Linked DNA regions of Saccharomyces cerevisiae S288C. Changing the gene in region 2 together with the main gene of any one other region gives a genetic interaction. Each region holds a gene or a part of one and is shown on either strand. Other genes may lie near its edges.

Evidence for each region.
Region 1: mutations in RAD27 (region 2) and SIS2 are lethal when combined (synthetic lethality), as found in Saccharomyces cerevisiae (6 studies listed by BioGRID, with this or other methods).
Region 3: mutations in RAD27 (region 2) and HST3 together harm fitness more than expected from each alone (negative genetic interaction), as found in Saccharomyces cerevisiae (6 studies listed by BioGRID, with this or other methods).

The regions. Positions count from the first base shown.
Region 1 is NC_001143.9:576,084-579,839, forward strand, and holds SIS2 (phosphopantothenoylcysteine decarboxylase complex subunit SIS2), read right to left. Parts: upstream 2,041-3,756; coding exon 352-2,040; downstream 1-351. Other genes in the region: YKR073C (uncharacterized protein), read right to left, coding at 2,104-2,424; AIM29 (Aim29p), read left to right, coding at 3,126-3,593; YKR075C (uncharacterized protein), read right to left, coding at 3,744-3,756. UniProt on the Saccharomyces cerevisiae protein: Component of the phosphopantothenoylcysteine decarboxylase (PPCDC) involved in the coenzyme A synthesis. Acts as an inhibitory subunit of protein phosphatase PPZ1, which is involved in many cellular processes such as G1-S transition or salt tolerance.
Region 2 is NC_001143.9:224,171-227,926, forward strand, and holds RAD27 (multifunctional nuclease RAD27), read right to left. Parts: upstream 1,706-3,756; coding exon 557-1,705; downstream 1-556. Other genes in the region: DNA-(apurinic or apyrimidinic site) lyase APN1, read right to left, coding at 1-285; DNA-binding protein ABF1, read left to right, coding at 2,400-3,756. UniProt on the Saccharomyces cerevisiae protein: Structure-specific nuclease with 5'-flap endonuclease and 5'-3' exonuclease activities involved in DNA replication and repair.
Region 3 is NC_001147.6:376,197-379,952, reverse strand, and holds HST3 (NAD-dependent histone deacetylase HST3), read right to left. Parts: upstream 1,735-3,756; coding exon 391-1,734; downstream 1-390. Other genes in the region: BUB3 (Bub3p), read right to left, coding at 1-172; AHC1 (Ahc1p), read left to right, coding at 2,241-3,756. UniProt on the Saccharomyces cerevisiae protein: NAD-dependent histone deacetylase, which contributes together with HST4 to histone H3 'Lys-56' deacetylation, regulation of telomeric silencing, proper cell cycle progression, DNA damage control, DNA recombination, and genomic maintenance.

The DNA.
Region 1 (3,756 bases), 350 kb from region 2:
TTTCTTTTTTTTATTTTTTTTTTCCAGAAGCTTTTGAATAGTATCGGACTTATTCCGGTACCGGGATATGTCAAAAAAAGAAAAATGAGAAACGAATAGATATTTACCCAGAAAGTAATGAATGTATTTAATGAATTACTGAATTATTAAAATTAGTAATAAATAGCGGTTTATATGAAGAGCTCTATGTACGCTAGTATGGCATTACATACCTACTGCAAGTAAAAAAGGAAAAAAATTTGTGACATTTTGTAAATATGCTGCGTGAATTTGCCTAATGAGTATTTTTCCAGAAATTACAAAACACAAATAAGTAGAATGTGTTTAGTGTATTTGTAATTCATAGACTATTTATTGATGCTTATCTATTATACCTGGGGTTTCTGCTTCGTCCTCGTCCTCGTCATCATCGTCGTCGTCGTCGTCGTCGTCGTCGTCGTCGTCGTCGTCATCGTCGTCATCGTCATCATCATCGTTGTTGTTTTCGTTCTTATCTTCTGTATCTTCTTCTTCGTCGTCGTCTTCTTCCTCATCCTCATCATCGTCCTCTTCCTCGTTATTTTTTGGGTACCCACCCAATTTCATAACGATTTTGTTAACAATCTCATTCCAGTCCATCATACCCCCGAGACCAATATCACCATTTATATCCATAACTTTCTCAGACGGCTTGAAAACAGTGACCCAGGACATTTCCTCCTTTATCGTTTGTAGTTGCTTCTTTGTCATCATAGAATTAAAAGTGCTACTCACCATAGAAGGTGCCAAAAGAATGGGATAACTCGGATTCCAAGCTCTAATGACACTTGTCAGAAGATTGTCGCACAGGCCCAAAGCAATTTTTGATAATGTGTTTGCAGTTAATGGAGCTACTACCAGTATATCCGCCCAGCGACGTAGTTCTATATGAAGTACAGGATCAGTTCGTTGTTTCCATGCGTCCCATTCATCTTGGTCGGTCCATAGTTGAATATGTGGGGGTAACTCGACTACTTGAGCCATGTTGCATTGTCCTGGTGTTGGTGTCACTGGAGTTGCCGGAGTGGATTCGTACTGCGACATTTTATTTAGTTTTTCTGAAGATTTGATAATTTTCTTGGTATATCTTTGTTCGAAAAACTGTGTTGCTGATTGAGTGAGGATAACTTGAATGCTTATTCTATCACGTCCATATATTTCTTCTAGTTTTTTAATCATTGGCTTGATCTTAAATACCGATAACGAACCTGTAGCGCCAAACAACACGTGCAATTTTCCATCATCTTGAGGTAGTCTGGGATCCAAATTCTTGGAGTTCTCTCTTTTGGGGATGATGGAAGGAATGACGGACTGCTTCACTGGCGTTTCTTCCGGGGTAGAACGCACATTAATTTGGCCTGAAACATTGTTAGCTTGATCTTGTGCATCTTCCTTTCGAAGTGTAATACTGGTGGGGGCTTTGGCGGTTACCTTATTATTTTCTCTACTTATTGGCGTTGAAGTGGCCATGATTTTGTCAGGCTTCATGGTATCAACTATTTTAAGAGCACTGTCTTTTTTCTTAGGATCATAATCTTTCATTTCGTTGACGAGTGGAGACCCAGATAATTGCGTTGTTCTTGAAGTGTTGGTGTGGTTCGGTATAACTGCATGATTGCCAGGAATGGAATTTGAGACAGGAGCAGGATTACTATTTGGAGACTTGGTCCTTTCTGAGTCGTTCTTCAGCTGAGTCAGACTATCCTGCTTTTGCTGTTGCTTTAGATCACTGAAAGTGACGGCGGGGACTCTCTTCAAACCAGGCTCCGGAGTATTACTTACTACTGCGCCGGAGGTGCCGGTGGCATTCATAATAGATTTCGTAGTCGTGGTAGTAGCATTCGACAAAGTAGGGCTTATTGATTGCCTCCCTGACACGGGGGAGTTGATTATTGAATCCTTCCCCTTCGCATCCTCATGGTCCAACAAAATCTCTTTCTGTCCACGCGAAAACCTTGGACACTCTATAGACTGGTTATGGTCAGCATCTTGCTTCCCGCTAGTAGAGGCGACGGCAGTCATTGCTGTTTGCTTCTAGATCTTTCTTCCCTATTAATTTTTTCCTAACTAATATTTCTTTATATTTTATCCCGGAATATAAAGTAGTATGACAGCAAAGAAGGCCAGGCTAAAAAAAGATCTCTCCAAATGTAACTGGACGGCGCTGATAAGTGGACAAGTACAAGTGAGGGATCGTGATCCAAGAGCACTCTGTGACTTCTTCTCCTCTAATATCACCTCCCCAGAAAAGCATCGATGCCATTTTTTGCAAGAGAAAAAGTTGCGTGCGTCACTGCCCACGAGCACATGGGGTGAGTTATATAACATAAGAATATTGCTTTGACTCATGTTAAAAGCAAAAGAAAAAATAATAATGATCATTAGAGATACATCAAAGACGATCATGGCATTAACCCAGGGTACGTGTGTTAGATATGATAGGGTACCCCGCGCGTATAAGTTACGCCTTGAATGATATAACACGTTAAAGTTTCTAGATCACGTGAATCATTACCATTTTTTAGGTCATCCTACGGATAATGGCGAAACCACATAATTGCTTTGTAGATCTCTTTTTATGCTGGATGGATGGCCCTCTGGAATGCATCCTTCACGAACACAATTTATGAAACCTCAGGTTTGATGCTCCGGAAAGCCTATTTCTCACGTTTTCCGGCACTTAATGCGCATATAAAAACATAGTCTCTACGTTACGAGGATTTATCATAGAACCCAAATCAGCAGTAATAAATTTCCACGGTCAAATTAAACTCTTGTCGTTGATATGGGTGTAGTGTGATGGTGGTGACCACTATTTCGCCTTTATTAGTTATTTATATGAGTTAGCCCTCCGAAGAACTCATCCTTGTTAGCTCAGTTGGTAGAGCGTTCGGCTTTTAAGCGCATTTGCTTAAGCAAGGATACCGAAATGTCAGGGGTTCGAGCCCCCTATGAGGAGTTCTTTACTTTTTTAGATTCGGCGTTCAATGCTAAAGAAAAAAAATGAAAATAAGTTTCAATTAATAGTGAAAGAAAAGGAAGGAAGTTAGAACTGAAATGCGTAGACTACCTCCCCCAAATTTTTTCTTGTTTGGTTGCATTATTTCATGAATTCAACTAAAAGGCTGAAAATGTCAACAACCTTTCATGATTATGACTTGGAAGAGCCATTAACCTCAAATGCCAGACCACTAAAGAACTCCGTTATTACAATCCGAGTAATAAAATCTTTCCCATATAGAAACGTCAAGAACATAGTGCTGCACGATTACGATCTTGCTGATAAAACTGCAAAGGACCTGTTCAATGACGTTTTGAACAAAATTCAAAATGAAGGTTCATTCAGACCATTCCGTAATGTTAAGTTTGATACTTTAAAGATATACACGCACGCACATGGTTCCAAGACGGTTAATCTCGTGATCAATTTTGACCACGATGACGACTGGACTTTAGACATAGAGAATGACAAAAAAAAGCTGTTCGAGTATGGCATTGAGAATGAAACCGAAATTTCGCTTTTCAACAAAGAGGATTACCTAAGGTTTAAAGAAAACCCTGAAGAAAAATGGTGAGATGTTGTTTGGCTTATGGCCTTCATTAATAAGTAAGTGCTATGAATATATTACATATATATATATATATATGTTGTGTACGAGAGTATACTCGTATGTAAATTAACATCAAATGTGTATGTGGAAATGCAGAAGAGAGCAAACTCTCCTTTAAAAAACAACC
Region 2 (3,756 bases):
CCTATCCGGATTAGCCAAATTAATAAAGTATTGGCCATGCGGTAAGACGTCCGTCAATGGGTTATAATTGTAAGTTGCACAGTTTTTCTTAAATTTATCTATTTCCTCCTGTGTATACTGCGGAGAAACCCACTTTCTTGGAGATTTTAAAAACATGGCAAACGAATTACAGCCAGTGTTAAATGCATTAGTTACACTATTAGAAATTCCACCGGCACCTGACATGTGCGCACCAAATTTGTATTTCGAGACAGCAGATCTAACAAAGCTAGGTGTCGAAGGCATTACGATGGTTCCGATATGCCAAAAGCTTATTAATGTTGCGTTTTGTGTTTCTTATTCGGAGTTTGTCATCTTATATTTACAATGATTTCCAACATGTAAAGAAATGAAGAAAAAGAAACCAGGTAAGAATGAAAAATTCCACGTTCAAGTTCCCAGAAAAACTGGCAAAAAAAGAGAAGTATTAGATGAAAAAAGTTCGTGTATACAAATATCTATGTTACATATATGCCAAGGTGAAGGACCAAAAGAAGAAAGTGGAAAAAGAACCCCCTCATCTTCTTCCCTTTGTGACTTTATTCTTATTTTTGTTCAATTTTTTATTTTCTTGTGCTCTTTTCGCCGCAGCAGCCAGCTGTTCCTTTGTCTTAGGCACCACTTGGAAGAACCCATCTAACCTACCCTGAATGCCAGATTTCAAGCCTTTTTTCAATCTTGATATACCAGATTTAACTCTTTCTTCACTGAATTTCTTATCATCACATAAATACTCGATAAGTTCCTTCTCCTTTGGTGGCGACCATTTCAAGTTTATTTCGTTACCATCTATAACTTCAGGGTCAAGAAACAGCATTCTTGCTTGTTTGTAAGGCCAGTCTTCTGGGATTTTCCATTTAGTGTTGTTTGACTCCCCAGATTCAATAAACTCCACGATTTTTTCGATGGATCCATGCGTTTTTATCAATTTTAAGGCTGTCACTGGACCAACACCTCTGATGCTTTCACAGTAGTCACAACCAAGCATTATGCAAAGATCAACAAACTGCTCTATTGTCAAGTCGAGTCCTCTCAAAACTAATTCAGTATCTATTTCGTGAATCGGTTCCTTCTTGGCCTCTGAAAAAGTCAAATGTCTCAACAAGAAGGGTGTTCTATAACAGAGTGTGTCCATATCTTCACTTGCTGCGGCATACACCTTTCCCTTCTTTGCCAACTCAGCACATTGAGCCTCAGCTTCCGTTGGCGCTATTATATATGGGATTCCCATTAGTCCTAGTAATTTTTGGGCTTCTTCATTATGCTCTTTTGAGACCTTCACCAATCTTCTTTCTTGCTTCATCTTTTCCAATTCTGTTGTTGCCTCTGCCAGTTTTTTTTCTGTTTCCACCCTTCTTGAAGACCGCTTTGTCAACTCATGAGATTTCAAATCTGGAGGTTTGCCGTCGAAGACATAACAAGGCTTGATACCGTTATCAATCATTCTCAGTGTCCTATAAAACATACCCATCAAGTGTGACGTTGTTTCACCGGCTTCATTGGTCAACTGCCCACCGTCTTGCTGTCTTACAGCAATTAAAAACTGATATAGAGACATAGAGGCATCGATGGCAACCTTTCTGCCAAAAAAGCTCTTGATATCGCTTTTCCTGATAGCAGAGGGAACATGTTCCGATATAATTGCATTCAAACCTTTAATACCCATATTTTTTCTTCCGGTGTCCGTTTCCTATTTCTTTCCAATGTATGCTGTCAACGCTTTTCATCGATGTATATAAGGAAGAATACCTCATTATAATACATCAAAACCTTCATTTGCGCGATGTTACGCGTCGCGTTTCCTATAAAAAATACATAAGCTAGTGAATAAAAGCTTTAAACGCGTTAGGGGGATCTGCAATTAAAGTAAATAAATGAAATAAATGAAATAGATGAAAAACTGGTTACACTAATTATAACGTTAATAAAACTAGTTGATAATCAAAATATTGCCATAGCTAAGCCAATAGTACAGCGTTGGCTTTCTATCATAACTTACCAGCCGGGTGCCCAATCGGGTATCTGTCACCGAAAGTCACTGTTAACGAGGTGTGATTCAGCCGGGTACTAGTCTAGCATTTTTTTTCGCCTGTTTTTTTCGTGAAAAACGAAAAGTGGCAAGCAAACTTATATCACTTTCTACTTCTTTCCCTGTTCTTTTTGTTTATTGGCAATGGCCACTACCACATCCCCATTAACGAAAGTCACCAAAGTGTGTCATTTAATACTACGGTTAGTGACAGCATTTTGTTTAGATCTCAACTAGAGAGGATTATCAACTGCTAAGCCCTTTACACGTTATCTGTGATCCTGCTGCACTAGGAAACGTTTCAAATCACCATATTTGCAATTTCACAAGGATGGACAAATTAGTCGTGAATTATTATGAATACAAGCACCCTATAATTAATAAAGACCTGGCCATTGGAGCCCATGGAGGCAAAAAATTTCCCACCTTGGGTGCTTGGTATGATGTAATTAATGAGTACGAATTTCAGACGCGTTGCCCTATTATTTTAAAGAATTCGCATAGGAACAAACATTTTACATTTGCCTGTCATTTGAAAAACTGTCCATTTAAAGTCTTGCTAAGCTATGCTGGCAATGCTGCATCCTCAGAAACCTCATCTCCTTCTGCAAATAATAATACCAACCCTCCGGGTACTCCTGATCATATTCATCATCATAGCAACAACATGAACAACGAGGACAATGATAATAACAATGGCAGTAATAATAAGGTTAGCAATGACAGTAAACTTGACTTCGTTACTGATGATCTTGAATACCATCTGGCGAACACTCATCCGGACGACACCAATGACAAAGTGGAGTCGAGAAGCAATGAGGTGAATGGGAACAATGACGATGATGCTGATGCCAACAACATTTTTAAACAGCAAGGTGTTACTATCAAGAACGACACTGAAGATGATTCGATAAATAAGGCCTCTATTGACCGGGGATTGGACGACGAGAGCGGTCCTACTCATGGTAATGACAGCGGTAACCACCGTCACAACGAGGAGGATGACGTCCATACCCAAATGACGAAAAACTATTCTGACGTAGTGAACGATGAAGACATCAACGTTGCCATTGCCAATGCCGTCGCAAATGTAGATTCTCAATCAAACAATAAGCACGATGGAAAAGACGATGATGCCACTAACAACAATGATGGCCAAGATAATAATACTAATAACGATCACAACAATAACAGCAATATCAATAACAACAATGTCGGTAGCCACGGCATTTCCTCCCACTCACCATCCTCCATACGAGACACGTCTATGAATTTAGACGTCTTCAATTCTGCTACCGATGATATACCGGGCCCATTTGTCGTTACCAAAATTGAGCCCTATCATAGTCACCCACTAGAAGATAACTTGTCACTGGGTAAATTTATCCTAACTAAGATTCCAAAGATTTTACAAAACGATTTAAAGTTTGATCAAATACTAGAAAGCTCTTACAATAATTCTAACCATACAGTGAGTAAATTTAAAGTTTCTCATTACGTGGAGGAGTCCGGTCTTTTAGACATTTTAATGCAAAGATATGGATTAACCGCCGAAGATTTCGAAAAAAGGTTACTTTCCCAAATAGCCAGACGTATAACGACGTATAAAGCAAGATTTGTTTTGAAAAAGAAAAAAATGGGCGAGTATAATGATTTACAACCTTCTTCATCTTCCAATAACAACAATA
Region 3 (3,756 bases), on a different chromosome or scaffold from region 2:
GATGTTTATATCGTAGCGATTGTAAAAGGTCAACATTCTTTGCTTGAATGTCGAATTTGTAGACTGTTAAAGAGCCATCCCAAGACGTAATCAAAAGCAGTGACTTGGAAGGGATTATTTTGATGTCGCTTATGTAGTCTTTTGGGGCCTGCTCAATTTGTACTATCTGCATGCCGCGACTGTTGTGTTTTCGTGTTGCAGATATCAGATAGCTTTTCTTTCGCGATGTGATATTTTTTTCGTTCACTATTTTTTGTATTCTCGGACATGCAGATCTCCGTTGGTATATGTATGAGTATATAAATGGAAGATAAATTAAACGGATGATATATTATGCAAAGGGGTGTCTGCCTCGATTATTTATCGTTAACTCAATTTTAATAGTTAAGTTTATGAGGCTTGGTTGTCACCGAAAGTTGGTCGTATCTTAGCGCGTTTTCTTGTATCCAAGTTTTCCTCTTCGTCTTCCTCACTGGAGTTTTCTGGTGACAGTATTTTTCTCTTAACTGTGTTTAACGACTTTATTTTTGTATTCAATTCGTTGTTTCCTTGAATATCAATCCCCTGGGCAGTTCGTAGAGGGGTTGTTGGGGGGGTTCCGATTGAGTCTTTTTGGGCCTTCATTTGCTTTCTCAAGTCGCTCGCCTCCCTTTTTAACTGTCTTAACTTCTTAATTTGATCTTGCGTCTTGAAGAAATCTGGTATTTGGGATTCAAGAAATGTGACCCAATTATCACAATCTGAGTGGATTTGGTAGTCTATAATGCCGTGCCAAGAGGATTCGCCAATGGGTGTCTTGTTTACGAGAATGATCAGGCCGCCACGATCGTGAATTTTCTTACTTAATTTTTTTACCAGTTGTTTCACACCATCAACTTTCAAACTTGTACCCATGATGATCAAAAAATCAGGATTGCCTTTAATTATGTCAAGATTTAGGCCTTGCGTAATAATTTCACAGGATGGATGGTTTTCACCATACAGGACGATATTAGGTCTTAGAATACCCACATTAGAACCAAGAGTTCGCTTTCCTTCATTCAATCTCTTGTTGATAAGTGCTTCGCAATCCGGACACAATGGTAACTCACCTCTTCTTAGACAACGAGACCAGTACCTGCTCCAGGGAAAAGTCTGGAAGCACTTTGTACACGAAAGAGTTTTCAGGTCGCCGTGCAACTGAACGACATCCAGATTTTTCCAATGTGAACTAAATGAGGTAAGCGGTAATTTCCTATTTGATAAAGTAAGTCCTATGCTTTCTTCGAGCCCATCGATGTTTTGCGTGTAACAGCGCAGCAGTTTGTTCCTATCTTTTAGATGCGCAATGAACTTGTGCGTCTTAGTCGGCTTTGCCAATTGAACATTTGAATAGAGCCTCTCCATAAATTTAGCAAAAATGGATATTTTGAAGTCATCTCTAAATAGCGAAATATCAAACATTTCCCTGCCGGACTTGATAGACCAATACTGTGAACAATCCTTTTTCACTAGGTCGTAGAGCCCATCAGAAGAGCGAAAGTCAGGAATGCCCGCGTTGCACGAAATGCCTGCCCCAGTCAGACAAGCAATTCTCCTAGATCTGCTCAACTGCTTGGTTACGCGCCGGAGAACTTCATCGTCGGCATCAAGACCTATAATATGTGCCAGTTTCTCAGTCTGCAAAGAGGACGGTAAGTCGGAGCACATTGAGCCCGATCGACTGGCAGGTGGCGAGGGCGATACTGAAGTCATTTTTGAGAAAGATGGATCTAGTTGTATGTAAATTAATCCCTTCAGTTTTTACACCACTAACCACGTATTTGCCCTTGCTTGTGTTATATATAAGACGTACGCCAGATATAGTTCTCTGGCACGAATAACATTGCTTGCTTTTATTGACGTTTTACCCTTTGTGGTAACAGCAAACATAAACGTCGTTCGTGATGTTGAGTTACTTATTGTTACCCGCAATTGAGGGATACCCGCCACAGAAACACATGCAGTGCATTTGCCACTGTGCATAGCCGTAGGAAGAGGGAAAAACGAACAGGGAAGAAGCAGGAAGAGCAGACAGCAAGAACCCGTGCTAAGGAAGGTGATGAACTTTGGCCACTGAAGGCGCATTTTACCTCTGAAGGATCCCGTTTCCACATTTGTAAGCTAGTGTTCGTTCATATAAACACCCTGATCTTCGGCATTTCACTACTCTTCGGGCTCACGCTTCTCATCCAACACTTTGTGTATATGTCCATCTCCTCATGATGAGTCCCGCCCAAGATAAACTGCAGCACCAGCATCATAATCCTAATTCTTCCTCATCGTCATCCTCTAAGATGACGAACGTTTATCAGGTTACCACGCCAAAGTCTCCTCAGGATTTGGAAAACAACATGGATGAGCCCTTCAAAATGGACACCGCCACCAGTAATCCGGACAAGGATAGCGAAAATACCCAGCGGTTGAAGTACGAATGTGCCAAAGGGGAAATACAGAATGTTTTGAACCTACATATAATGCTAAACCACAAGCATGTTAGGCACTTACGAAGAAATGTTCAAAAGGTTAACGCAAAACTAGCTCTCTTGGAAACCCTGCATAAGGATACTGGTCTATTGAACAAAATCGAACGGACGTATCAACTCAAAATAAAACAACATCAGCAGCATAGCGTGCTCGGCGGCCACTTTCACGACAGTACGGCTACGGAAAATACGAACGCATCAAATTATAACCTGTCATACCCGGTTCTATCGGATTATAACATCAACTGTCAGCCTTTGTCTTCGAGCAGCAACAGAAATCTGTCAACAACACGCATACCACACCACCATTATCATACTAGAAGCAAGAGTAACGGGCTTTTGCTAGAACCTTCTGCCCTCCGTCCGGCAAATTCGAATATAATTGATTACAGGCTAACAGGTTCTAAATCTCTATCAGAAGCCATAACCAAGCCCACTCCCGTCTCGCTTCCTCACTCTAATTCGGATGGCATTTCTTCACCTCGTTCCTCCTCAATCTCCCCCTTAGACGAGCAGCCGGGGTTCCAGATACTCCCTTTTAAACCAAGTCAGATGCATCTTAACCACAGACGTAATTACAGTAGCACTTGTTTGACGAGCAATAGCGGTATCATCGGTAAGACTGAAAATAATGAGCCCATTTTTAGAAGATATGACGGCATTTTGGTTATAATTACGTGCTCCAAATGTGACCGTTCCGGTTTCACTTCCGCGCAAGGTATCGTGAACCATACTCGACTAAAACATTCTAAACTATATTCAAGCCAACCATTGGCAGTTTTAAACAACCAAAAACTACTTCCTAATGATAAGCAGGATCCGGAAATTTTATCTAAGTTCAAGAAACTAAATTTGGACCCAAACAAAGACTACCTACCCTCTGACATTGCAATCCCAAAACCACAATCACCAATCAACCACTCCGAGAACCATACGCGGGCTCCAAAGACTGTCAAGAACACTCCTCATTTAGAAAAACTATACCAAAATAAAGAAGACTTCAAAAAACTGATTGACATGGTTAATGAAACTCCGGATGATTTGAATGAATATTTGAAGCAACGTGAAATTCAATTAAGATATCAAAAGGAGCAAGAAGAGGAATCTTCCAAATCTGATGACGAAGCTTCTTACGTCCCATCACCGTCTCTCTCAGCAACGGCTACAACAACAACGACTACGGACCCACCCTCTCCGCCAGTGCTATCCTCCTCCTTACAAAGAAAATTGCTGCGTAAGAGAAAACTGAGCT